4 linked regions of the Coturnix japonica genome follow. The protein of the gene in region 1 interacts with the protein of each later gene in a biochemical or structural test. Links are inferred from orthologs where the notes say so. Each region holds a gene or a part of one and is shown in the gene's direction. Other genes may lie near its edges.

What was found. The genes of interacting proteins can lie anywhere in the genome.
Region 2: the proteins of UBC (region 1) and N4BP1 form a complex in vitro, tested with the Homo sapiens proteins (6 studies listed by BioGRID, with this or other methods). The link is inferred for Coturnix japonica from reciprocal best matches to the Homo sapiens genes UBC and N4BP1.
Region 3: the proteins of UBC (region 1) and JOSD1 form a complex in vitro, tested with the Homo sapiens proteins (4 studies listed by BioGRID, with this or other methods). The link is inferred for Coturnix japonica from reciprocal best matches to the Homo sapiens genes UBC and JOSD1.
Region 4: the proteins of UBC (region 1) and MINDY1 form a complex in vitro, tested with the Homo sapiens proteins (5 studies listed by BioGRID, with this or other methods). The link is inferred for Coturnix japonica from reciprocal best matches to the Homo sapiens genes UBC and MINDY1.

Annotation. Positions count from the first base shown.
Region 1 is NC_029534.1:5,348,137-5,352,230, forward strand, and holds UBC (polyubiquitin-C), read left to right. Parts: upstream 1-1,294; 5' UTR 1,295-1,455; intron 1,456-1,516; exon of another isoform or gene 1,517-1,641; intron 1,642-2,191; 5' UTR 2,192-2,197; coding exon 2,198-3,571; 3' UTR 3,572-3,713; downstream 3,714-4,094.
Region 2 is NC_029526.1:6,160,675-6,166,953, forward strand, and holds the start of N4BP1 (NEDD4-binding protein 1), read left to right. Parts: upstream 1-2,312; 5' UTR 2,313-2,327; coding exon 2,328-2,744; intron 2,745-5,298; coding exon 5,299-6,279. UniProt on the Homo sapiens protein: Potent suppressor of cytokine production that acts as a regulator of innate immune signaling and inflammation.
Region 3 is NC_029516.1:46,388,483-46,394,727, forward strand, and holds the start of JOSD1 (josephin-1), read left to right. Parts: upstream 1-2,278; 5' UTR 2,279-2,991; coding exon 2,992-3,176; intron 3,177-6,245. Other genes in the region: GTPBP1 (GTP-binding protein 1), read right to left, coding at 1,618-1,809.
Region 4 is NC_029540.1:2,195,959-2,202,430, reverse strand, and holds MINDY1 (ubiquitin carboxyl-terminal hydrolase MINDY-1), read left to right. Parts: upstream 1-2,505; 5' UTR 2,506-2,642; coding exon 2,643-3,113; intron 3,114-3,350; coding exon 3,351-3,408; intron 3,409-3,718; coding exon 3,719-3,783; intron 3,784-3,882; coding exon 3,883-4,041; intron 4,042-4,176; coding exon 4,177-4,279; intron 4,280-4,358; coding exon 4,359-4,501; intron 4,502-4,741; coding exon 4,742-4,912; intron 4,913-4,998; coding exon 4,999-5,139; intron 5,140-5,211; coding exon 5,212-5,292; 3' UTR 5,293-5,558; downstream 5,559-6,472. UniProt on the Homo sapiens protein: Hydrolase that can specifically remove 'Lys-48'-linked conjugated ubiquitin from proteins. Has exodeubiquitinase activity and has a preference for long polyubiquitin chains. May play a regulatory role at the level of protein turnover.

The DNA of each region.
Region 1 (4,094 bases):
TTTACAGGTTTGCATTTATTTATACACAGTCCAGTCAGTTGCTTATTCACATGGAGCTACTGGAGGAAGGGCAGTATGTGTGCTAAGTACTTAGATATATTTAACTAGAAAACAACTGCTTTCGTAAATAGTTTACTCATAGGATTTGGCAATAGTTTTTTTGCTTGTTTGTTGAAGGGAGGGCTCTGGCATTTTCTGAAAGTGCCGAAATCCTTCATGCAAACCCAAAACACCCAGGGCAGACTTTAGCTTAGCGTTGTGGTTAATATCCAGTTTAGCAGCTGTGGCCTTTCACATTTGTAAATATTATTGCTAGTTTCTCATGGCTTTCCTCTCAGAGCTCCTTGTTTAGCTGCCTTGGCTCTAACCTCTGCTGCTTTGGTGCTATGTACACGAAAAGAGCCTATTGGAAACAGTGAGCAAAGTTGGCAGTATTAAGGAAACAGCGTTGCTTAAGTAAGGCCTTTGTCCTAAATCTACGTAGTCCTAAATCTACGTAGTCCTAAATCTATGTAGCTGAATAGTATCTCCGAGGTTTCCAGTTTCTCTTTTCCTCCCTTCCCGTCTACATTCTGAGTAACTGCTGGGAAGATTTATGTCCTTTTTACTGTAAACCAAGTGCTGAGCAGTCACAGGCCTTGCTAAAAGAAGTGAAAGCTCTCTTTTTAACTGGGGGAAATACAGCCCTGTGTTCAGTCCTGCTATTCACACACACGTTCGTGCTTCCTAAGCAGAGGATTTACCAGCAAGTTCATCTGTGTTCACCGAGCAGTAAATGAAACAGCAGAGAAACCTTCCTGCTTTCTGCATGCTCTGGTTATGATATAAGAGCTGTTCTGAAAGGTATAATGAGCTTTAATGAACACAAAACATGCCGCCACGTCGGCTCAAAGCAGGAAGCTGCTGTGTGACCTGTTCAGTGCTTCCTGTTCTGAAAGCAGCAGTGGGCCTGCTGTGATTAAGGGGTATTTTTGCCCCCTTTCTCCTTGTCAGACCCTTCCCTAAGCAAATAACAGGCAAAAAGATGCGGCCTAAACACAACGTCCCCATGGGCGCGGGGCCTGCCCGGCCTCTCCCTGCCCCCACTCTACGGATCTGCGCATGCGCACACCCCCCCACCCCACCGAAATCTGCCCCCGCAGAGCAGGGCCGCCCTAGCAACAGCGCTGACCTCACCGCGCACCAATCAGAACGCTGCAACGCTGGAATCTTCCAGAGCTTTCTTTACAACGGATCTTTCCTTAACAACCAATCAGCAGCCACCTTTCTTACTGCTGCGCCAATCAGCGCCGATCTTGCCACCGTTGGGATTAGAACGTTTCATTAGGCCGTTTCACCGCAGCTCCAGATCCATCCGCGCCCTCAGAACTTTTGGGATTTTGAAGGGTCTCCTCTCTCTACCGAGGACATCACGGACCCCATTACTCCTGGAGGAGGGATTGGAGCGGTAGAGAGGTGAGTATTGCTGGTACCGGGGGGGGGTTCGTTTGGGACTACTTTGAGAGGCGGAGGGATACGTCAGCGCTTTGAGGGCGGGGACTGTGCGGCGCAAGGAGCATAAATAGGGGCGGCGCTGCGTCACAGCGCAGAACACAGCGACTGGGATCGGGATTGCATTGATCGGAGCTCAGGGCCGGAGACGTGAGTTGTGTGGGGGGAGCGCTGAGGGGGGGGAGAGAAGGGACGGTGGTTTTTTGTTTTCAAGGCAGAAGGGGTTGGAGTGAGTCCGCTTGGGGTTGTATTTGTGAGGGGAGGTGGTTGTGGACGGTCTAATCCGGCCTAAGGGCGCTTGAAGAACGGTGCGAGGGGGGGGGGGGGGCAGGGGAAGCTTGTGGCTGAGGAAGGTGGGGTGTTATAAAGATGGCGGAGCGCGGCGCTGTGCGGCCCGGAAGCGGGAGCTGAGTCAGCGCGGCTGCAGCCGTTGTGCCAGTGTGAGAGCACGGGGGGGTGCCCTGGAGTTAAAGGAAGGGGGGTGCTGGGCTCGGCCAGCACAGGGCATTCAGAATTATAGGGTCCTACCTCAAGGAAGAGGTGGGGAACAGGAACAACAGGGTTAGTTATAGCTTATTGAAATCCTAAATGATGTAACGTAATGCAAATTAGTAAGTTGTTCTTTTTTTTCTCGTTTGTAAGGTGTATGTGGACTTAAAGTGCTTTTTAGCTAAGGCTAAAATTTCTGTATGTTTTTCAGGTAAACATGCAGATCTTTGTGAAGACCCTGACTGGCAAGACCATCACCCTTGAGGTTGAGCCCAGTGACACCATCGAGAATGTGAAGGCCAAGATCCAAGACAAGGAAGGCATTCCTCCCGATCAGCAGAGGCTGATCTTTGCTGGCAAGCAGCTGGAAGACGGGCGCACCCTGTCTGACTACAACATTCAGAAAGAGTCCACTCTGCACCTGGTGCTGCGCCTCAGGGGAGGGATGCAGATCTTTGTGAAGACCTTGACTGGCAAGACCATCACCCTTGAGGTTGAGCCCAGCGATACCATTGAGAATGTGAAGGCCAAGATCCAGGATAAAGAAGGCATTCCTCCCGATCAGCAGAGGTTGATCTTCGCTGGCAAGCAGCTCGAAGACGGGCGCACCCTGTCTGACTACAACATCCAGAAGGAGTCCACCCTGCATCTTGTGCTGCGTCTGAGGGGAGGGATGCAGATCTTCGTGAAAACCCTGACTGGCAAGACCATCACCCTTGAGGTTGAACCCAGTGACACCATCGAGAACGTGAAGGCCAAGATCCAAGACAAAGAGGGCATTCCTCCCGATCAGCAGAGGCTGATCTTCGCTGGCAAGCAGCTGGAAGATGGGCGCACCCTGTCTGACTACAACATCCAGAAAGAGTCCACCCTGCATCTTGTGCTGCGCCTCAGGGGAGGGATGCAGATCTTTGTGAAGACCCTGACTGGCAAGACCATCACCCTTGAGGTTGAGCCCAGTGACACCATCGAGAACGTGAAGGCCAAGATCCAAGACAAAGAAGGCATTCCTCCTGATCAGCAGAGGCTGATCTTTGCTGGCAAGCAGCTGGAAGACGGGCGCACCCTGTCTGACTACAACATCCAGAAGGAGTCCACCCTGCATCTTGTGCTGCGCCTCAGGGGTGGGATGCAGATCTTTGTGAAGACCCTGACTGGCAAGACCATCACCCTTGAGGTTGAGCCCAGCGATACCATTGAGAACGTGAAGGCTAAGATCCAAGATAAGGAAGGCATTCCTCCCGATCAGCAGAGGTTGATCTTCGCTGGCAAGCAGCTCGAAGATGGCCGTACCCTGTCTGACTACAACATCCAGAAAGAGTCCACCCTGCACCTGGTGCTGCGCCTCAGGGGTGGGATGCAGATCTTTGTGAAGACCCTCACTGGTAAGACCATCACCCTTGAGGTTGAGCCCAGTGACACCATTGAAAATGTGAAGGCCAAGATCCAAGACAAAGAAGGCATTCCTCCCGATCAGCAGAGGCTGATCTTTGCTGGCAAGCAGCTGGAAGATGGGCGCACCCTGTCTGACTACAACATCCAGAAGGAGTCCACCCTGCACCTGGTGCTGCGCCTCAGGGGTGGCTATTAGTTGTTGTCAGCAGTCTTGTCGAGCAAGATGCACAGCACTTGTGTTTGCACTGTAGTCTTTCTGATGTCTTAAATTAAACGCAAGCTTAAGTAACTGCTGATCTGTATGTTGAAATGCTAATAAAGTTTTCTGTTGCACATTACGTTCTGTTGTCTGTCTCAGTTCAAGCTAGTAAACCCAGTATATATAAATGACACGTTCCTTTTGGCTTTCTTCCATGGTGGTTTAAGCATCTTTATGTGGGTTGTGGAGGTATTTGAGGGTGAATCCTAACATGGATTAAAGTCTTAAGTCTAAGCACTAGTACTGTGTCACTAAATCTTGCTAGAATTTAACGTGATTCTGTATTTTCAGAAAGGATGCAGTGTTCCTGTAAGGACTTCAGAAGCTGCTGTCCATCATTAAGGCTGTAGGACTAAGGTAGTGGGAGTGGGTTGTACACTGCACTGTGTTAGAATGGGTGGTGCTGAGGTTCCATTACCTCACTTAGGTGTGACTTCTCAGTGTCCTTGGTGCAGTTTTT
Region 2 (6,279 bases), on another chromosome or scaffold:
TTTCCACAAGTATTTCAGTAGTGTTCAATACCCTCTCACATTAAACATTATACGCTTAGATTATCACTTGTGTTGTCAGTCATTCAAGTGAAACTCCAGGATTTAAATACACAGCAAACACACAGCGTGGAGTGTTTAAATTAAGTCATAATAACACAGCTAAATATTTACATTAAAGAAAAAAAAAATAAATTGTTTCTTGGAACATTTCCCAGGCTAAATGATGGTCTTTGCCAATACACCTGCAGCTCTTTGCAACTAATTAAGAAACCTGAGCTAACACACTCAAAAAGCTTAAAAAAAACCCAAACCAATGCAAACACCACTGCATAAAGAGAGAATGAATTATTACCAACATTCAGCAACTGACACGTGTAATCACAATACTTTTCTTTTTCTTCCTTTTTGAAAGATTCAAATGCTTACAATTTTAAAGAGCTTGGAACAAAGAAAGGTAATTAATCTAAAATTAAGGGACAGATACAAAATCAGTAATAGAAACTGACAGTTGCAGAATCTATACCTTGGATAATTCTCCAACAGTTTTCCTCTGGAAACCAAAGAAATAAAACAAAAGCTTTGATCAATGGGTTCATTAAGAACTCTGCCTTGCAGTCAGCTCTACAAAACGAAACTTTCTGAATCACAGGGTTCTAGTTTATCTTGAACATTAAAATGTCATACACTGTATAAGCTTAGTACGTTGGAACACAGTCTTAAGGAACCTTACTCACTTGCAATGATCTCCCTGAGAGACGTTTCATACCACTGTATGAAAATCACCTCAGAATACAGATTATAGAGAATTATACAGATCACAATAAATTCTGCAGTAAGTGCAAGTTTTATAACATATGCGTGGCAAAATACCCCATCTATATAAGGAGCACCAAACATTACCCACTTTACTTAGAAACCAGTACATTTTCAGCTACCCTGGGGTGCTCCAAAAACTAGTGCTGACGTGAGAGAAAGAAAAAAAAGCATCTTATTTCAGCCTTTTCATTATATTTTGTACCTCAAAGTTGTTTGTCGTTTAATTTTTACTGTAAAGTTTCTTGCTTACAATTTCATTTTTGGTTAACAGAGGCTGCAACGCAGCAATGGCTGCAGTGACCACATTCAAACAGCCGATGGCACCAACTACCTCCTCAAATTGCCCAGCAACTGAGTGTGTGTATCAGAGCGTAATTTAACTTGGGAAAGCAAATAGAGCTTAATTACAAATAAGGGGAATCTTTTCAGAAAAATGAAATATATATTAAGGAAAATCGATCACCTTTCTCAAACATAACATCGACATTAGAACCATATCCTGTTTCAGAGTGCATGAGTATGTGTAAACGCTGTATGCACAGGTGTAACTCACCCCATTTAACCAAGCAACAGTTGCATTGCACTTCAGGATATAACGCTGTAAATTCAGAGAGCAAAAAGTACACAGCTGTGCGATTTGGTGTGACCTTCCGATGGGCACTGACTGCAACATGTCAGATAGTTAACAAGTTTCGAAATAGATAAACGTCTTTATCAAAATACCTTGTATTTACCCTCTCCTGCTGTAATGTTGTGTATTAAAGGAAGAAAATAGGGACGTTTAGGTTTAAAGGGAATTCGCTTTCCCTCTGGAGGATGCATTTAATGAACAGCTGTGAAAAACCACCAGCACAGCAACACCAGAGGGATGGATGGAAGCCAGGGGGATCAAAGAGCGAGAACCTGGAGGGTGTTAGTTGTGGTCAGGGGAGGAAACGAGGAAGACCCAAAGGTGTTCAAGACCAGGTTGGACAGGACCCTGGGCAACCTGATCTAGTAAAGGTGTATGTTTGGTGGCCCTGCCAGGCAGGGGGTTGGAACTACATGATCCTTGAGGTCCCTTCCAACCCGGATCATTTGTGATTCTGTGATATTCACTCATTGCTACAGCAGTTGCTCCATACCGACAAGTGCAGCTATTCAAGAACCTGGTAGAGCCTCAGCGCTTCCCTAACTGCCGGGACGTTTCTCCCTTTACAACCTCAAGGGACACAACTTACTTTTCCTACATGTTTGGGGTTTGTTCTGAACGGAATCCACCGCGATGGCAGCACGACACCGCTGGGACCACTGAGCAGGGCTCACACAGCCGCTCTCCCTCGGGGCACATGGCGCTGTTTGCTCCGTGCTTCCACACGCCACGTCCATAAGCAAAGAGGAAACCAAACAAGGTTAGCCGCCTCGCTACAGCCCGGCTGGGCTCCGAGCACCGCAACAAACCGTCCTCCACGTAGTGAATGCGGGGCGGGGCCTGACGGAACAACAGGAGCCGTCACCGCTCTCGGCAAAACATGGCGCCCGGGTTGTGGAGGGGACACGGCCCAGTTCCGGGTGAGGCGGTGCCGCCGTCGCGGGCTGATGACGCACGTACCGAGCGAAGGGAGCCCGGGGATTCCCCGTGTTGTTGTCCTGCGGCCCGCCGGGATGAGAGGCCGGAGCGCGGCCCAGAGCGGCTGGCGTTGATGGCGGCTCGTGGGGCGGCCCGCGGCTCCGGGCCGGGCCTGGACGAATTCACCGTCCCGGCCGAGAAACGCCGCTTCCTGGAGGGCAGCCGGGGCCGCATTCAGGGCCTGTTCGAGGTGCGGCTGGCCGTCCTGGAGGCGCAGGGGGATTGGCGGCCCGCACTACCGCCGCCGGGACAGCCGCCGCCCGCAGCCAGGATCTGGGTGCAGCTGGAGGGCGGCGGGAAGGCCGTGCGGAACGCCAAGGTATGGAGGAGGAGGAGGACGAGGAGGAGGAAGAAGAAGAGATGGGGGGGGCGAGGGGCCGCGGCTGAGCCCCACCGCCCGGCCGGGACCTGCCGGCATCGGTGTAGGAAGTGGTTGAACTCTGAGAGCAAAGGGCAGCGCTGCTGCGGGACGTGCCGGGGGCAAAGCGCAGCGTCCTCCAGTCCGACCTCACGGTGCTCAGAACGACCAGAACGCAGCTCTCCCTTGTTCTGCAGCTCCAGAAGTCGCAGGGTCGGTTGGGTGTTGCCAGGTTTCGCGGTTGGTTTACACACGTCGCTGATTCCATGGCCTGTTGGCCGGGCTCTGAGTGACAGCTCAGCCGAGCTCTTATTTCCTCCAGGAAAAACTCGGCAGCTCCAGGCTTCTTCACCTGCTGGTTTGCTGGAGCTTTCTTCCAAAACAAGAAGAATGTTATCAGTGCTGCCTGCACCCCTGGTGATGGCACTGGCTGCTGTGAGGGTACTTGTATAGAGTTAGTTACACCACTTGTACAGCTGGCACAATGGGGGTATTGGTAGGAGCTGTGTGCTGGTGGGGGACCTGTCAGCTGTGTGTGTACGTATCGTGTGCTGAGTGCAGCAGTGTGAGAACCATATTGGCTACATGTAGCTCTGAAGCCTGAAGTTCTGATAGCTGGGCTTAACACACAGGTACACAGTGTACTTTATGACTTAATTCACTTCACATTCCACTTTGAAGAACTTGACTCCTTTCTTGTGCCATGCATCAGTTGTAGGGAAGATACTATGAAAGTTAAGGTTGTTGTATTAACTGACTCTGGATCTCAGCCAGTTTGATTCTCTGTTGGGCTCAGAGATTCTGGAAGCTGTTACAGGTGACATAAGGGATATTTCTCCTCTCGGGCAGCTGCAGCACAACTTCCTGTTTCGTTGTTTTTTGGTTTTGTTTTTTTTCCTAGAAAAAGCCTAGAAAACAATTTTCAATTCTGTCATTGCTTCTTTCCTGACAATATAGAGATTGCTTCTTACTCCACATACTTAAAAGGGTATGTCTTTATTAAAAGGAGATTCTTTCCTCACGTTTCAAGCCTTCTTCAACCTTATCTGGATGGCTTGTTCACTAGAAAGTATTAATTATCACACATCTTTTTGTTCTTTTGAAAACATTCTATTACAGCATTTTCTGTTTGAATTCATCGATCATTTGCAGTATTCATTCTGCAGTGCTGTTCTCTTCTCTACTCTTGACGTGTTTTTTAAGCGTGTTCTTTAGCAGCAGCAGTCATGTGATGGGTAAGGCACAAACATTTTTCTGTTGATTTTACTGCAGAAGCAGTTTGTACTGGTAAGGTCTTGAGGTGTCCTGCCCTGGTGCTTACACCAGTATGACTCAGAGATGATAAAAAGTGGCCTTGCATTCTTCATCACCTTGTAATGGTTTTCAGTTTCATTTAAAAGGGAATTTCAGTTTCCAAGGCTTAAGGGAAGACAGTCAAATTTGATATACTGGAGATTCTGCAACTATCGTGACTGCAGCTTAGAAAGTGGTTTCACTGCATTATAGAGTTTGAAGTACAGTAGACTTAGGAATAATTATGCTGCCTGACCAAAACAAAGTATTGTGCTTTGGCAGCTTCTAAACTCAGTGATAAGTATAGGGCAAAGAACAAACAATAAGTAGATAAAAATATAAATACCTTTGCAGTTACTCTTTGGGAGTTTTTCAGAAGCAGCCTTTGAGTCCACTGTTAGGAATCTATCACAGGGTGCTTCTGATAAAGTGTGTGTTCTCTGGCCAAAAAATGGGGATAACAAAATAAATCTTTCCGACTTGTTAAAAGTGAACACTAAAACTAAAGGCAGTGGGGAAGATCAAGATTTATTTTAGATGATTTAGCCTAGTAAAATAAGAGACAGTAATTGAAAACTGTGTCTGTTTAGCTGTGTTTTTAAGTGAGTAGCATAAATACCTTTTTGAAACCCAGAGGAGTGAGTTACTGTGTAACTACTGGAAGTTGAGTTTGGTCCAAATATCATAATTTTAACTACCCATCCTTTCTCAAATTTAAGACACAAATGGGAGTGCCTTTACTTGTTTGAGCTCGAGTGCTTTCAGATATTAAGAATTCTGAGAATCCAGGATGTTAAGGTATTTTTATCAGTGATAAAGTAAACATATGGTGTATTTGGAACCACAGCTTAAATACTCAGTTACTATCAGTTTCAAGTGAACTTAGTTATAAACAATGGAATATAAAAAACTAAAAGATAGCCTTCTATGAGATCTATTTAAAAATCACCTCAAATACATGTTTTGTATTTGTATTTACTGGGAGTATTTACTTTCTCAGATTTACTGTGCAAACCTGGCTTTATTTTTATTTTGCTTGGACAGGCTGGAGAGTTGGCAGAGAGGATCCAGATGAAGTTTAACAAGCCTGCTTGGGCAGGGGGTTGGACTAGGTGATCCCTTCCAGCCCCTGCAGTTCTGTAGTTCTAGTGTATTTGTCCATTACTGATTTTAAATGTCAACTTTTCACAAGATTCACTTCTCTGTCTTTTTCTCCTTCTAGGAGTACATTAAGGGTCTCTGTGAACCTGAACTAGAAGAAAAAGAATATTACCCAAAGGACATGCACTGCATTTTTGTTGGTGCGCAGAATGTGTTTCTCAACAGTCTCATTCAGGATACCTGCGCTGACATAACCGTGCTGGAAATAGGATTGCTTAGTATTAAAGGGGGTGCAGAAGCAGTTGTTATGGCTCAGAGTCAAGTTCAGCAGTTTGTGAAGCTTTTTGAGAATAATGAAAGTTTGTCAAGTGAATATGAATCAGATATTAAAAAGCAATTTAGGCAATTTGTGGAAGCACATGCAGATAAATATACAATGGATTTATTGATTTTGCCTAGCTCACTAAAAAGGGAACTCCTAACTCTGATGCAAACTGAATGTTGTGAGTCAGGGGATGATATAATAGATCTTACAGGGTCCCAAAGCCTAGCAGAGTTCTTACAGGACAAAACCTCCCAAGTCACTGTTACAAGCAGAGATGGAAAAACAAGGAACGAGGAGGAGAGAAACAATGCTGGGACTCCTGTATCTGAGCTTACAAAGCAAATGGACAACGTGTTTTCTGATGCTTCTGAAACAACTTTTGTTCCCATAAATATTGTGCCTCCATTAGAGGCAATGACATCTAAAGAAAGACAATCTTGTAAAAGACGATTTTCTGATGCTGAGGAACGTCTCCCTAAAAAGCAGTTCTCTTTGGAAAATGACCAGGAAGTGAAGGCTATCTCACGCAATGATCCTTCCGAGAGGGATGCAGTTATTGATCTGATTTCAGATAGCTGTGGTGACTTAGATGATCCCAGTTACTGTATAAAAGAAGGCGATGATATCAGTGAGGAAATAGAATATAAAATTCTTGTAAACTTTTTCAGAACGATGGGATATTCACAAAGTATTGTGGAAAAAGTTATTGGTATTCTAGGACAGTCTGTGGAGCCCTTAACGCTGCTGGAAGAAATTGAAAAAGAAAACTTAAAATTT
Region 3 (6,245 bases), on another chromosome or scaffold:
TAGTATGAATACTTCACAGGCAGTCCTAAGGAAAGATACATCCCCTACCCACAAGGTGAGCAAACTATAAAGGTTAAAGGCAAAACAAATACTAAGCAGCATGCAGTGCTGCTCTACTAGTATGACACAGTCAGACGTTTGGCTGGGAGGTTACCACGAACCACTGAGAAGTCAGGGCAAAGACAACCCAGCCCTGTGACATTTCAATCTCACACCAACACCTTCCATAACATCATAGTTTACTTCCTATTTCCTGTAGACAGACATACTTTGAGTGTTACTAATGTTCTGTTGTCAGCGTAGAATTAATGTATAATAACTTAAAAAATTTTGCTTCACAATAGCTTTGTGAGATTTGTTTTTGACCTAAAAGATAATTACTACTGCAGTGTACTAGTCTTGAAGGAAAAAGAAGCATCTACTAAAATTAATGTGATAATGGATTTGTGCTGATGAATGGAACTGTTTGCTTGATCAACTGATGAAGTACATGTGCTTGATAAGAAATCCCCCAGCACTGTTCTCTATGAAGAGCAGAACTCACCGCAAAGACACTGGGGAGGGGAATGGGAGAGAAGTGTGTCAGACAGCAAACAGCTGGGTCAGAGTGGGACAGAAAGCCAGCAAACTAACTGCAGTGGGAATCACTGTTTTAAGCAGGAAGTGGTGAGAAGTAATTCAGCTGGAAAGCAGAGAAATGGGGGGTGGGGAAGAGGCCAAGTTAGCTCCTGTGTTCACACCATATGGGAGACTGCTGTTTTGAGAACAGAGAATGGGAGATAGGGTAGAGCTCACAGCCTTAGCACTCGTCCAAGACAGAGATCGTACAATCATTTGTGTTGGGAAAGATCTCTAAGATCACCTGGTCCATCCGCCAGCCCATCCCCACCATGCCCACTGCCCACGTCCCTCAGTGCCACATCCACACGGCTCTGGAACACCTCCAGGGACGGTGACTGCACCACCTCTCTGTGCAGCCTGTGCCATTGCAGCACCACTTTGAGAAAGCAGGGCAGCAGGTGTATAGTGCTGTGTGGAGAAGTCAGTGGTAATAAAGGTCAAAACAACGCTCACCTGTCATTTCCTCTTTGCCTGCAGGTGTCTGGGAGCTGACGGCTGGCTGCTGACACCAATGGAAGCAGCAGGAGAAGAGCTTTCCTCCCTCTTGGTCAGAGCTGCGGGCGGTTCCCAGCTGTCAGGATGGGTGACAGCCCTCGGAGACGTCCTGCGCGCTGCTCCACGCCGGTCATATCCAACACAAAGCACACACACGTACACAGGTCGGTGCTGGCATCCGGCATCCACACCTCGCCCAGCTTGCTCAGACACAAACAGGTGGCCCAGCGGACGCTGAAGTTTTGATGCTCATCCTTCGCTTCCTTACAGGATATCTTCCGAGCGTTCAGTGCCGCGCTCAGCCGTTCCCTCACAGGTTCCTACAGCCCCTGCTCGCTCCCATAGAGGGGCCGGGCCCTCGGAGCGGAGTGTTACCGCGAGCAGCCGAACGGGACGGAACTCGAGGAGCCCACGCAGGGTTCCCGCTATCTGTACCAACCCCTCCCCGCCGGACAGGACCCTGTGACAGAAGGCCCGGCCCCTGCCCACCCTCGGGCCTACCTTGCTGGTGAGATCGATCTCGGGCTCTCCGTTGAGCGCCTCACCGTCCTCCGCCTCGAAAGAAGAGCGCAAGGAGCAGGCGGCCGCCGCCAAGCGAGGCCTGCCGCCCGGAGAGCCGGGCTCCGGGGCGAACATACAGGCCGGCACCGGGGAGCCCCCCGCCGGGGAGCGGCTCCGCTCCGCCGCCGCCATCTTCCCTGCCCCGGCCCCTCCGCCCCCGCCCCGGGAGGCGCGGAGGCCACGCCCACCGCCCGCCAAGGACGGACAGCCAATGGGAGAGCGGGTGGGACGGCAAGGAGCGCGGAGTCAAAGCGGCGGTGGGCGGGACCGTGAAGAGGCCACGCCCCCGGGGAGCGCGGAGCCAATGGGAGCAGCACTGCCAGCTCGGCTTGTTTGCTATATATACACACACAACAGTCCGCTCGACGTGTCGAGTACTTTTTGTCCAATGAGAGAGCTGCTCCTCGTGACAAGCAGCCCTGCTATCCAATGGAATAGGAAGGCTTGAGCGGTGGGGCGGGACCGAACACCACGGTAGTTAGACACGTGGGCGGGCATTCTCTCGGATCAACCAATGAAAAAGATGAACGGTTTCATGGACAGCTGAGTCGACCAATGGAACGCGCCGAGCGTCTGTGGGGCTCCTGACAGAAACCCCCTGGGCGCAGTAGAGAAGGAAGGAGGGGGCGCATGCGCCGCTGCGGTTGGTGTGAGGAGGCCGTGGCCGGGCAGCGGCGGTTCGTCGGGGCTCCGTGCGGGCCCTGCCCGCTCCTAACGGCGGTTTCCCTCGGGTGGAGGTGCGGGGCGGTCCGCCGGGCGCCGCGGAGCCCGGAGCCGTGTTGTATGGCCTAGGAGGGAGGAGGCGGCTTCCTTCCTCGAGCCGTTGGCATCCCGGAGCCTGCCCTGCCCGCAGCAATGGAGGAGGGCAGCTGAGGGACCCCGGCCCATTCCGTGCCCCGGGGCGGGCCCGAGCTGTGAGCCCGGCCCTGCGGGGTGCAGCTCCGTGCGGCCTGCGCTGCGGAACGGAGATGGAAGAGAAGGAGCGGTGTGGGAGCATCCAGCCGGCACCTTGAGACTGACGGGATCCGTATCTTTTGGTTATCTTTCTATTCGGGTTTTTGTTTCTTTTTTTTTGGGGGGGGTGGGTTAGGGCTGTGTGGCGTTTTATGGGGTATGGGAGAAAGGAGGTGGTTGTTAAAGCCAGCAGTCAGAGGCGATTACTGAATAAACTGAAGCACAAGAGGGGGGTTGGCGGGCTGGAAGCGGCCCTCGCCTATAAAGTAAAGGGGCTGCGCGCTGCTGCTGTGACTCTGAGGAAGAGACATCGGCCTGCTGAGTTTCTCACCTCCTGCTCGCCATCCGCCCTGTGAGAAGATGAGTTGCGTGCCATGGAAAGGTGACAAGGCCAAATCGGAGTCCCCAGAGCCACCCCAACCGCCGCCGCTACATATTTACCACGAGAAGCAGCGCAGGGAGCTGTGTGCCCTCCATGCCCTCAACAATGTCTTCCAGGACAGCAACGCCTTCACTAGGGAAACCCTGCAGGAGATTTTTCAGAGGTATCGCATTCTGCACTGGCAGAAGTGTTTGCTTGCTTTGGTGCTTATAAGGATTTGCAGGTCTTATTTCTGGGGATGAAGAGAAGAGTTTGGAGCTGCTTTGAGTCGAATATAGCTCTGTTTTACCCCATTCCACTCCTGTTGTTTCCTCTTTCTAAACAGAACACCTCTCTTACTCTTGTTTCTAAAGCTATTCAACCTAAGAGCTTTATTGCAGGTGCTGCTGTGCGGTTGTGCTGCATCCACCTTAATGCATCTTCTCTCTTCTGCCCCTGCCTCCTATTGGTGTGTTATCTTTGGGTAGTAACAGATCTGGGGAGCGAGGATGGCCAGGATGATAAAGGGATCATCATATGAGGGTGGATAATGATAGGACAAGGGGGAATGGTTTTAAATTGAGACGGGAGGTTTAGGTTAGATATCAGGAGGATGTTTTTCACACAGAGGGTGGTGATGCACTGGAACAGGTTGCCCAAGGAGGCTGTGGATGCCCCATCCCTGGAGGCATTCAAGGCCAGGCTGGATGTGGCTCTGGGCAGCCTGGTCTGGTGACTGGCAACCCTGCACACAGCAGGGGGGTTGAAACTGGATGATCATTGTGGTCCTTTTCAACCCAGGCCATTCGATCACTCTATAAAAACTTCTCAATTCAGTACAATAGGACTTAGAAGATGCTGGATGTTAAGGCTTCGTCAACTTATTCAAGCATTTAAATGAAGTTCTTCAAATATTGCAGCCTTTTTTATTTCCTTGCAGTGAGACCCTGCTCACCAAACAGGATTTAATCTCGGTAGCTAGATCCATGTTTTCTGCAGTGTTGGCTGAACACTTCCTGGAAGCTTCACATAATTAATAAAGGCATTCTTGAGCCTTACACGGGAAACTGTAGTTGATGAATGTGTCCTGCAAAATAACTCATTTGGCAAGATGTTTATTTCATGTTGTTTAACGCTTTGTTGCAATTTTCCTCAATTTGCCTTTGAAAGTTCTGGTGACTTTAACTGATGAAGCTAAAGAGTAAATGGAGCCTCCCTGCAGTATTCCATCTCTGTATCTAATCTTCACTGAGGCTGTGGTTGAGTACTTGTTACCAGTAGCTGACAGCACATTGTGTTAGTGAGGCATAGGGAATAGCTCTCCATGGCAGCACTTAGGCTGGAGGTGCTGCTGGACAAAGCTCCCTGCCCTGTTGCCACCACCCTAAAAATCAGAAGGTTTATTGAACTGGAGCTCGGCTTGTCATGTATGTGCCTTCCTTTCCTTAGCCATTGAAATGTGGTAATAGACAGCTGCAAATATCAGATGGAAGTGCTATCTACGATGGTACTGTAAATAAAATGCCTATTCATGAAGAGGAGCTGATCCAACAGCATTTTAACTTTGTCCAGCATAAAGGCTCTGTGGTTTTGTTGCAGAGTAGCAATTGTCAGAGCTGTGATCACGGATGGATTCTACTGGCCTGAAGTAAACAGCGGCAGTTCCTGTGGTAGAAGTGGCGTGATGATTAATTAGTTGACTTTCACTGGGCTTGATGAGAGAATTAGTGTGCAGCAAGGAACTTTTCATATAAAGCACTGAGGTGCTCGTCTGGTGAGACCTCTTGCCCCAAAAGGATGAATATCTTGAATTCCAGACTGGTGTTGTGTCGTTCTAATATTCTGATGGAGGTTTGCAGACTGGTTCAACCCCACAGAAGTAGTTGAAACAGTGTTTGGACGATGCTCTTGAAAATGTGGTTTGAATTTTAGGTGGTCCCACGGAGCCGGGAGTTGGACTCTGCAATCCTTGTGGGTTCCTTCCAACTCACAACGTTCTAAATGGATGAGCAATGAGGAATGCATAACAGTTGCCTCCTCCTTTGCCTCTCTGTGGAGTTACTGCTTGTTTTCGACTCTTTGGCTTGACTTTAAGTAGTGTGGTCTTAGCCGCGTTTTAGACATCATTTTTCCACACGTCTTTCCTGTATCTAGTCATACACTGGGTTCTGCTGAATGTGACAAAACACTGATGAATATTTTAATAAGCTACAAAAACGTCGCTAGGCATCGTTATGTTTTGAAGCTTAATGTTGACATGGTAATGAAATCACAAATGAGCTTAAGCTTTCCCTTGGTCTGACCACATCCCTTGAAAAAAATAATGGAAGTGTGTTTCTTAATCATCCATTTCCCTTTTGCTGCATCCCATTGCTCCAGGCCAGCGTAGCGTGATTACTATCATCATTTCAAGTATACGCCAAAGCATGTCCCGTGCTCCCCTCTGATTCTGTAGCCCTCCCTCTCTTCTTTACTTTAATATGAAATCCATCTATTTGATGTTTCTCTGCCTTCTGTTTCAGGAAGTAAGATTGCTTGTTCCTGTTGTGCCAACAAAACCACTTCACTTGAGTCTGTTCCTTGAGATCTGGTTAGAAAAGACAGCTTTGTGTTGGAGTTGATGAAGGTTTGTGACTCAGAAACTCAGGATTGATGCCTGTAGTTCTGTTCAGCTCCATCGGTCTTGCCTGGATTAGTCTCTAGATAAATAATTGTATTGTTCCTTGTTTAGTCAGAGTCCTTCAGCTGATAGTTGTGTACCCTGTGTAAGTGTATGTGAGCAGAAGTGTCTGGAGGCGGCTTTTGATGAAGGCTTTCTGGTGGGTAAGAGTTCTCAGAGTGTCACCTCTGTTTTTTATCTCATTTCTGGGCCTCTGTGAGTTACAGGAGAGAACAAAGATAAGTGCATTCTTTCAACCCGCAAATAAACTTGTCTTTGGAAAACTGTGCCACGAGAGGGTGCTTGTGCAAACCAAAGGGCTCTTAACTGGGAGGCTTTCATGAGAGATAATAGGTTGGAGCAATGTTCTTGAGGAATTAGTTGTAGCCCAGTGATCTTGCTTTATGGTGATGCTGGGAAGGCTGTGACAAGCTACAGTAGTATCTCTGATTTGTAAGATAGCCTCCAAGTCTCTGCTCTGCTTATCTGACAATGTCACTGCCTTGCTGAGGACTGCTCAGTATGAATAGATTTTTGTGGTACCGCATTGTTTGAGGCAGTTCTGCTGCAGTTTGCTGCCCTGTAAGAGAAGAG
Region 4 (6,472 bases), on another chromosome or scaffold:
CATGCTTCTCTTTGAGCACTGCACTCCTCTGAGACCACTCTGCTGCTGTTTGGGGTGTGTTTAAGTGCTTCCCTGGATCCAGGCCTGAATTCCTCTTTGGGATGAGCACATTAACAGGGCTGGTTGTCTGCTTCCTACCTCTGAAACACCATAGCAGAACGCTGGGCTGCAGTTCCCATCCCAGCAGTGGGAAGTGCAGCTCTGGGCTTTAAACCTGCGCAGCTCGTGAGCTAGTTTTAATGAGCTCTGGCGCAGCTCTCGCGGCTGTTGTTAACTCTTGTCATGCAGTTCTCTTGGCTTTATTAACCTGTGGCAGCTCTGAGCTTCAACCTGTGCAGCTCTGAGGCTTCAAACCTGTGCAGCTCTGAGCTTCAAACCTGTGCAGCTCTGAGCTTTAAACCTGTGCAGCTCTGAGCTTTAAACCTGTGCAGCTCTGAGCTTTAAACCTGTGCAGCTCTGAGCTTTAAACCTGTGCAGCTCTGAGCTTTAACCTGTCAGCTCTGAGCTTTAAACCTGTGCAGCTCTGAGCTCTCAGCTTGCTTTTGGGCACTGTGAAGCTGCACTCCTTGGGCTCAGGTCCCCCTCCCTTGTAGGGGGGCAAAGGGGATGGTCTTGTTATAAAGCTGCCAGGTCTCGATGTGTTTATTGCCATAACACCCAAAGAAGGGCAGGATCTGACCGCACTGCTTCAGTCCAAACACAACCAAGCCACCCTCTTCCCTCAGAACTGCCTGTATCCAGGGCTGCAGCTGGTTTGATTTAAAGCTGCCAGGACCTTCTGAACCTGCAGAGCCCTTCAGCCCGAGGATGGCTTTGTGGGGATGGCCCCTTTGTGGTGTGGGCCACTGCTGGGGGGGAAGGGCTGCTGTCAGGGCTGTGTAGTGCCAGGAGGGTGAGCTGGGGACGCGCTGACGTGGGAGGATGACTCAGAGCCACGCTGAGGGCAGGGCTGTGGGCTGCAGCGTCCTGCTGCCCGCTCACCCCGTTTTGGAAGTGAATTGTGTTGAGCGTCTCCAGCTGCGACTGCAGGGATGTGGTGAGGAGCTGCTGCTCAGCAGCCCCTCGGAAAGGAACAACTCCCTTTGGCAGCAGGACTTGTGGCTGTCAGAGCTCACAGCGCAACCTTTGGGCTTCTGTGGAGTTTGGAGGATTCTGCCTCATCTTTGGATGTGTTTTCACATTAGGATCCCCAGTGGCAGTGGGTGGGGAGGCACAGAGCGGTGCAGACCTCCCCAAAACTCCCCCTGCTTCTTTCCTTGGATGTTTCCCATTCAGCTCCACCTGGAGTGGGAGCAGATGTGCACAGACACTGCATTGAGGGGGTCCCTGACCCCACTGCTGCTGCAGAGAGGGGTGCAGCAGGGCTGTGAGGGAGCCCTGAGCACTTCCACATTGCTCTGCACCCCATGGAGCACACTGCACCCCATGGAGCACACTGCAGGGATGCTCAGCCTTTCCTCTTCACTGTTCATTTGCTTTCTCTGTGCTCCAGCAGCACAGCCTGCACCTTCCCTGCATGGGGCAGGCAACGCCTGTTTGCTCTGCATTCATCCACTGCAGCCCTTCCTGTGCCCCTCCGAGTTGGAAACAACAGCACTGCCAAAGAGCCCAACTCAGCGCCGGGTGAGGGAGGGGGAAGGAGGAGGATTAAGGTGTAATGGGATCTGCTGGTGACTCAGCCGAGGTGTGTGTCTCAGCAGAGCCCTTCCAGCCCTGTGGGGAGAGGCAGCAGTGGGGAAAATGGGGATGGATGAGGAGAAAATGGGGATGGATGGGGGTAGGGGGCAGCCAGAGCTCTGAGTGGAACCACATTGAGACCCATTGCAGCTTGGAGCTCTGAGTCTGGGTAATGCTGCCCCTCTGGGCTCAGCGGAGCTGCGCTGTTGGTGATGCTGCTTGATCCAACTTGTTTCCTTTTTGGTCCATGCAGGGCAGGCCGTGGGAGGAACAGCAGCATGGGCAGAGCTGCAGGTGGACGGATCTGAACTGCGCCAGCACCACGACAGAGCGGCTCTGTTCTGTTTGTGTAACTCCAGGCTTTGGCTGTGGTGATCATCCAACGAGGACAGCAGCGGATAAACGCCTTCAAGGACACCTTTGTCCAACCAACCATCGTTCCGTGGCTCTGGGGCTGGACTGGCAGCAGAATAAGGGCACGAGTGGAACATTTCAGCCCTCAGCTCAGCTCTGGTGGCTCTCACACCCCTCACTCATTGCTGGTGGTGAGCACAAGGAGCACCCCCAGCTGTGCTGGCCTCCTTGGAGCTGCCATCAGCTGGAATGTGGATGCACACACAGAGGCAGAGCTGAGAGAGCACTGCCTGTCATCCACAGTGAGCAGCGGGGCAGGAGGTGGCTGTGGGGCCATCCCAGTGCCCAGCAGTGCCCTCCGAGCATCCCTTGGACCTTTTGGATCTGCTGTGCAGGTTGGCATCTCAGCTCGTTGCTCCTTGGGATTGTTTCAGTTGTTTGGAAGTGACAGGCAGTGCCTGCTGAAGGAGTTGGACTTCTATATGTGTTTTCTTGTGGAGTATCTGAACTTGGCATCTTAAGGTTGGGACCGCAGCAGGACAGAACTGTGTGCTGTGTTGGGGAGCCTCAGGACCACACAGCACTGCTGACGGATGCTCTGAGCTGCCAGGATGGAGCTGCAGTCTGAGCTGGGGGCGATGCTCAGCACCACGGGGGGTGATTCCCAATGCCCAGAGAGCAGCCCTGAGCCCTGCCAGCCACCACGGGACACGGGGAGATCCAAAGAAGGGGGGGATGCTCCATCTGCCAGTGGGCAGAGCCTGGTGCTGCAACCAGCAGTGGAGGAGGAGGTGCCCCACCCCAGCACCGCAGAGGATCCTGCTGAGCACCAGGAGAGCAGAAGCCCAGGTGCCCATGAGGAGCTGCCCACCCCCAGTGAGAGCAATGCATCCCCGGGGGGGGCTTCACAGCCGGCAGCTGAGCCCCAAAGCACCCACTCCCCATCCCGTGAACCTGAGCCTGATTTCTACTGTGTGAAGTGGATCACGTGGAAGGGAGAGCGGACACCCATCATCACCCAGAGTGAGAACGGGCCCTGCCCGCTGCTGGCCATCATGAACATCCTCTTCTTGCAGTGGAAGGTGAGCAGCAGGGGAAGACATGGGGGGGAACGTCAATCCCATTTGCTCCATGGAACCCTAATAGGAGCATTCAGGGGGGCAGCTGGGGGCTGTGAGATAACATGGCGAGAAGGAAAAGGAGAGTGAAGGGATCTCAGCCTGCTGCCTCATCTGGCATGGTCTGTGCTTTCGAGCTGGGGAGCTTAACAGTGTTGGGGGGCTCTGCTGACTGTCCCCCCCCATCCAATGTGCCTCCAGGTGAAGCTGCCCCCACAGAAGGAGGTGGTGACGTCGGATGAGCTGATGGCCCATCTGGGTGAGTGGGACTGGTGGGGGGAGCAGTGCTGGCACTGTGGGCTCCTGGGCTGAGTTTGAGGCAGTGGTTCCCATCTGCCACCCATTGCTCCATCCATGGGGTCTGTGCCCCCACCACGTTCCCTGTGCACAGCTTCTGAGATATTCCCTCTGGGTGCAAAGCAGGAGGGGGATGTGGGGCCCAGCGCCTTTCTTTTGCAGGGGAATGGGGGTTGGTTGGGAAGGGCAGGAACAGACAGGGGAGGCTGAGCTGTGCTGGGCTCCATGCACCACTGGGAGCCCCATAGTGACCATTCTGCACTGCACCCAAGGGGACTGCATCCTGTCCATCAAACCCCAGGAGAAGTCAGAGGGGCTGCAGCTGAACTTCCAGCAGGTGAGTGCTGAGGTCAGGCTGGGGGGTGGGGGGTCACAATGCTGGGCAGTGGGCACATCATCCTGAGCACAACCTGGTGCTGCTCTCCCCCCCCCACAGAACGTCAATGACACCATGATGGTGCTGCCCAAGCTCTCGACGGGTCTGGATGTGAACGTTCGCTTTACGGGCGTTTCTGACTTTGAGTACACCCCGGAGTGCATCGTCTTCGACCTCCTCAATGTCCCCCTGTACCACGGCTGGCTGGTGGACCCACAGGTGGGTGCTGGGGGAGGAGGGGGTTGTTCTCTATTTGGGGGTCCTGAGGGATGTCGCAGTTGTGCTGAGCTCATTGGGTTGGGGTGTGAATTCTCCCATTCTTATTATTTCCTATGCATCCCCCCCCCATTGCAGAGCCCCGAGGTGGTGCGAGCTGTTGGCAAACTGAGCTACAACCAGTTGGTGGAGAAGATCATCACGTGCAAACACTCCGGTGACCCCAACCTGGTGACCGAAGGTGGGTGCTGTGCTGTGGGGGTTCAGGGCTGCCCTGGCCCCGCTCTCATATCACCCCCCTCCCCCCCCCAAACCCCCAGGGCTGATTGCTGAGCAGTTCTTGGAATCCACGGCCTCCCAGCTGACTTACCACGGGCTGTGTGAGCTGACGGCAGCTGTGAAGGAGGAGGAGCTGAGCGTCTTCTTCCGCAACAACCACTTCAGCACTATGATAAAGCACAAGGTACGACCGTGACCCAGAGCTGATCCATGGCATGGGCACATCTGGACACAGATGGAGGAGCGTTGGGGAGGATAGAGCTGAAAGAGGAGAGTTTGGGGGGAATTCCTCGCTCCAAAGGCTTTGGGGCAGTGTGGGTGCCCCTATGGATGGGGCTGGGGCAGCCAGCTTGCAGCAGGGGCTGTGAGTTCCCCCCCCCCCCCCCCACAGTTCTGAGTCTCTCTTCCCATTCCCTGTCCCCAGGGCCACCTGTACTTGCTGGTGACGGACCAGGGCTTCCTGCAGGAGGAATGTGTGGTGTGGGAGAGCCTTCACAACGTGGATGGGGACAGCTGCTTCTGCGACACCCAGTTCCACCTCAGCCACGTGCTGGGCAAAGAGGCGGCTGCGCCGGAGCAGAGTCAGCTGGACCAGGTGAGGGGCTGAGCTGCGGCAACACCAGGGAATGGGAGACCCCCAGCACCGTGCCCACCCCTCTCTGTGCTTCCCTCCATGCCCAGGACTACATGATGGCGCTATCCCTGCAGCAGCAGCAGGGCCAGGGTCCTTCAGCACTCAGTGACCTGGAGCTGGCACGGCAGCTGCAGCAGGAGGAATATCAACAACAGCAGCAGCAGCGGCCACCCCCAGCTCCCCCACAGGTATTGGGGTCTCTTCCTTGTGCCCCTCTGCTCCGTCCACCCCCCATCTCCATCCCCACTGTCTCTCTATAGGGCCGAGCACAGCAGGGCGGCCGCCCAACACCAGAGCGGAGACAGAGGCACAAACAGAACTTGGACTGCACCCTCCTGTAGCCCCCCAGGACCCCCCCAACCCACAGGGATCCTCTGCAGATCTTGGGGACGATGTGGGGGTTGGGGAGGGCCCTTCTTGCACAGTGCTGGGACCGTCCCTGTATTTCAAGTGGCCTTAATATGGGGGTGAGGAACCCGTGGGAGCAGGGTTCCCCCCCCTCTGCCCTGCTATGGACCCTCAGGGATGGTGGGGCTGCTGTGGGGGGGGAGATGTGTGCCCTCTCCCACAGCATTGCCTTAGCCAATAAAGGACTTTACCCATTGCAGTCGGTGCTGTTGGGTGGTGTGGTTGGCTATGGGGGTTGGATGGAGGGATGGGGTTGGCCATGAGGGCTGTGTTGGGGTCGGGGGGGGCACAGGAGTGGCTGGGAGGGGTGATAGGTACTCTGTAGGGACAGAAGAGGGAGTGGGGGGCGATGGGGGGATGCAGGGGTGGCTATAGGAGCTGTAATAGGGGCTGAGTAGGGGGGTTGGGGGGGCAGAGGGTGGCAGGGGAAGGAGTGCGGTGTGTATAGAGGGGGTGGCGGGGGGGGGCATAGGGGCTGAGAGGGGGGGCTATAGGGACGTGGGGGTCAACGGGGAGGGTATAGGACTGCATGGGGGGGCGTCCATGGGGTGCCTATGGCGGCAGTGCTGGGGGGTGGGGGCTCGCGGGGAAGGCAAGGGGTTGTGCCCCCCTCTACCCGGAGCCAGACGTGTGCACCCCCCCCCCCCGCCCTTATCCCGTTAAGTCCCGCCCCCCTCGCCGGGTGCCGAACCATGACCACGCCCACTCCAAAACAGGTAAAGCCCCGCCCCCTCCGCCCGCGGGCCCGCCCGGGCGCGTTGTCGGTGACGTCACTGCCAGCCCTGAGCGGGGGGGGGGGGGCGGCGGCCGGCGTGGCGGAGGGCGACGGAGTGAGTTGGGACCCGGGGGTGGGGTGTCCCATTAAAGGGGGGGGTGGGTAACGGAACGACAATCGTCTTCCGGCCGCCATCTTTGCAGCCCCCCCCTCCCTAAAGGGCTCGGAGCTCCGGTAGCCGCGATAGGCTCATAAACGGCGAAGCGGGAAGCCACACGGGGTGGTGGGGTGGGGGGGACGGTTCGGTTCGCTGCTCGCCCCCGTTGTGCCCTATGGGGATCCCTCGGTGCCCTATAGGGATGTGATATGGGCTATGGAGGGGGTACGGGTGTCGCTGG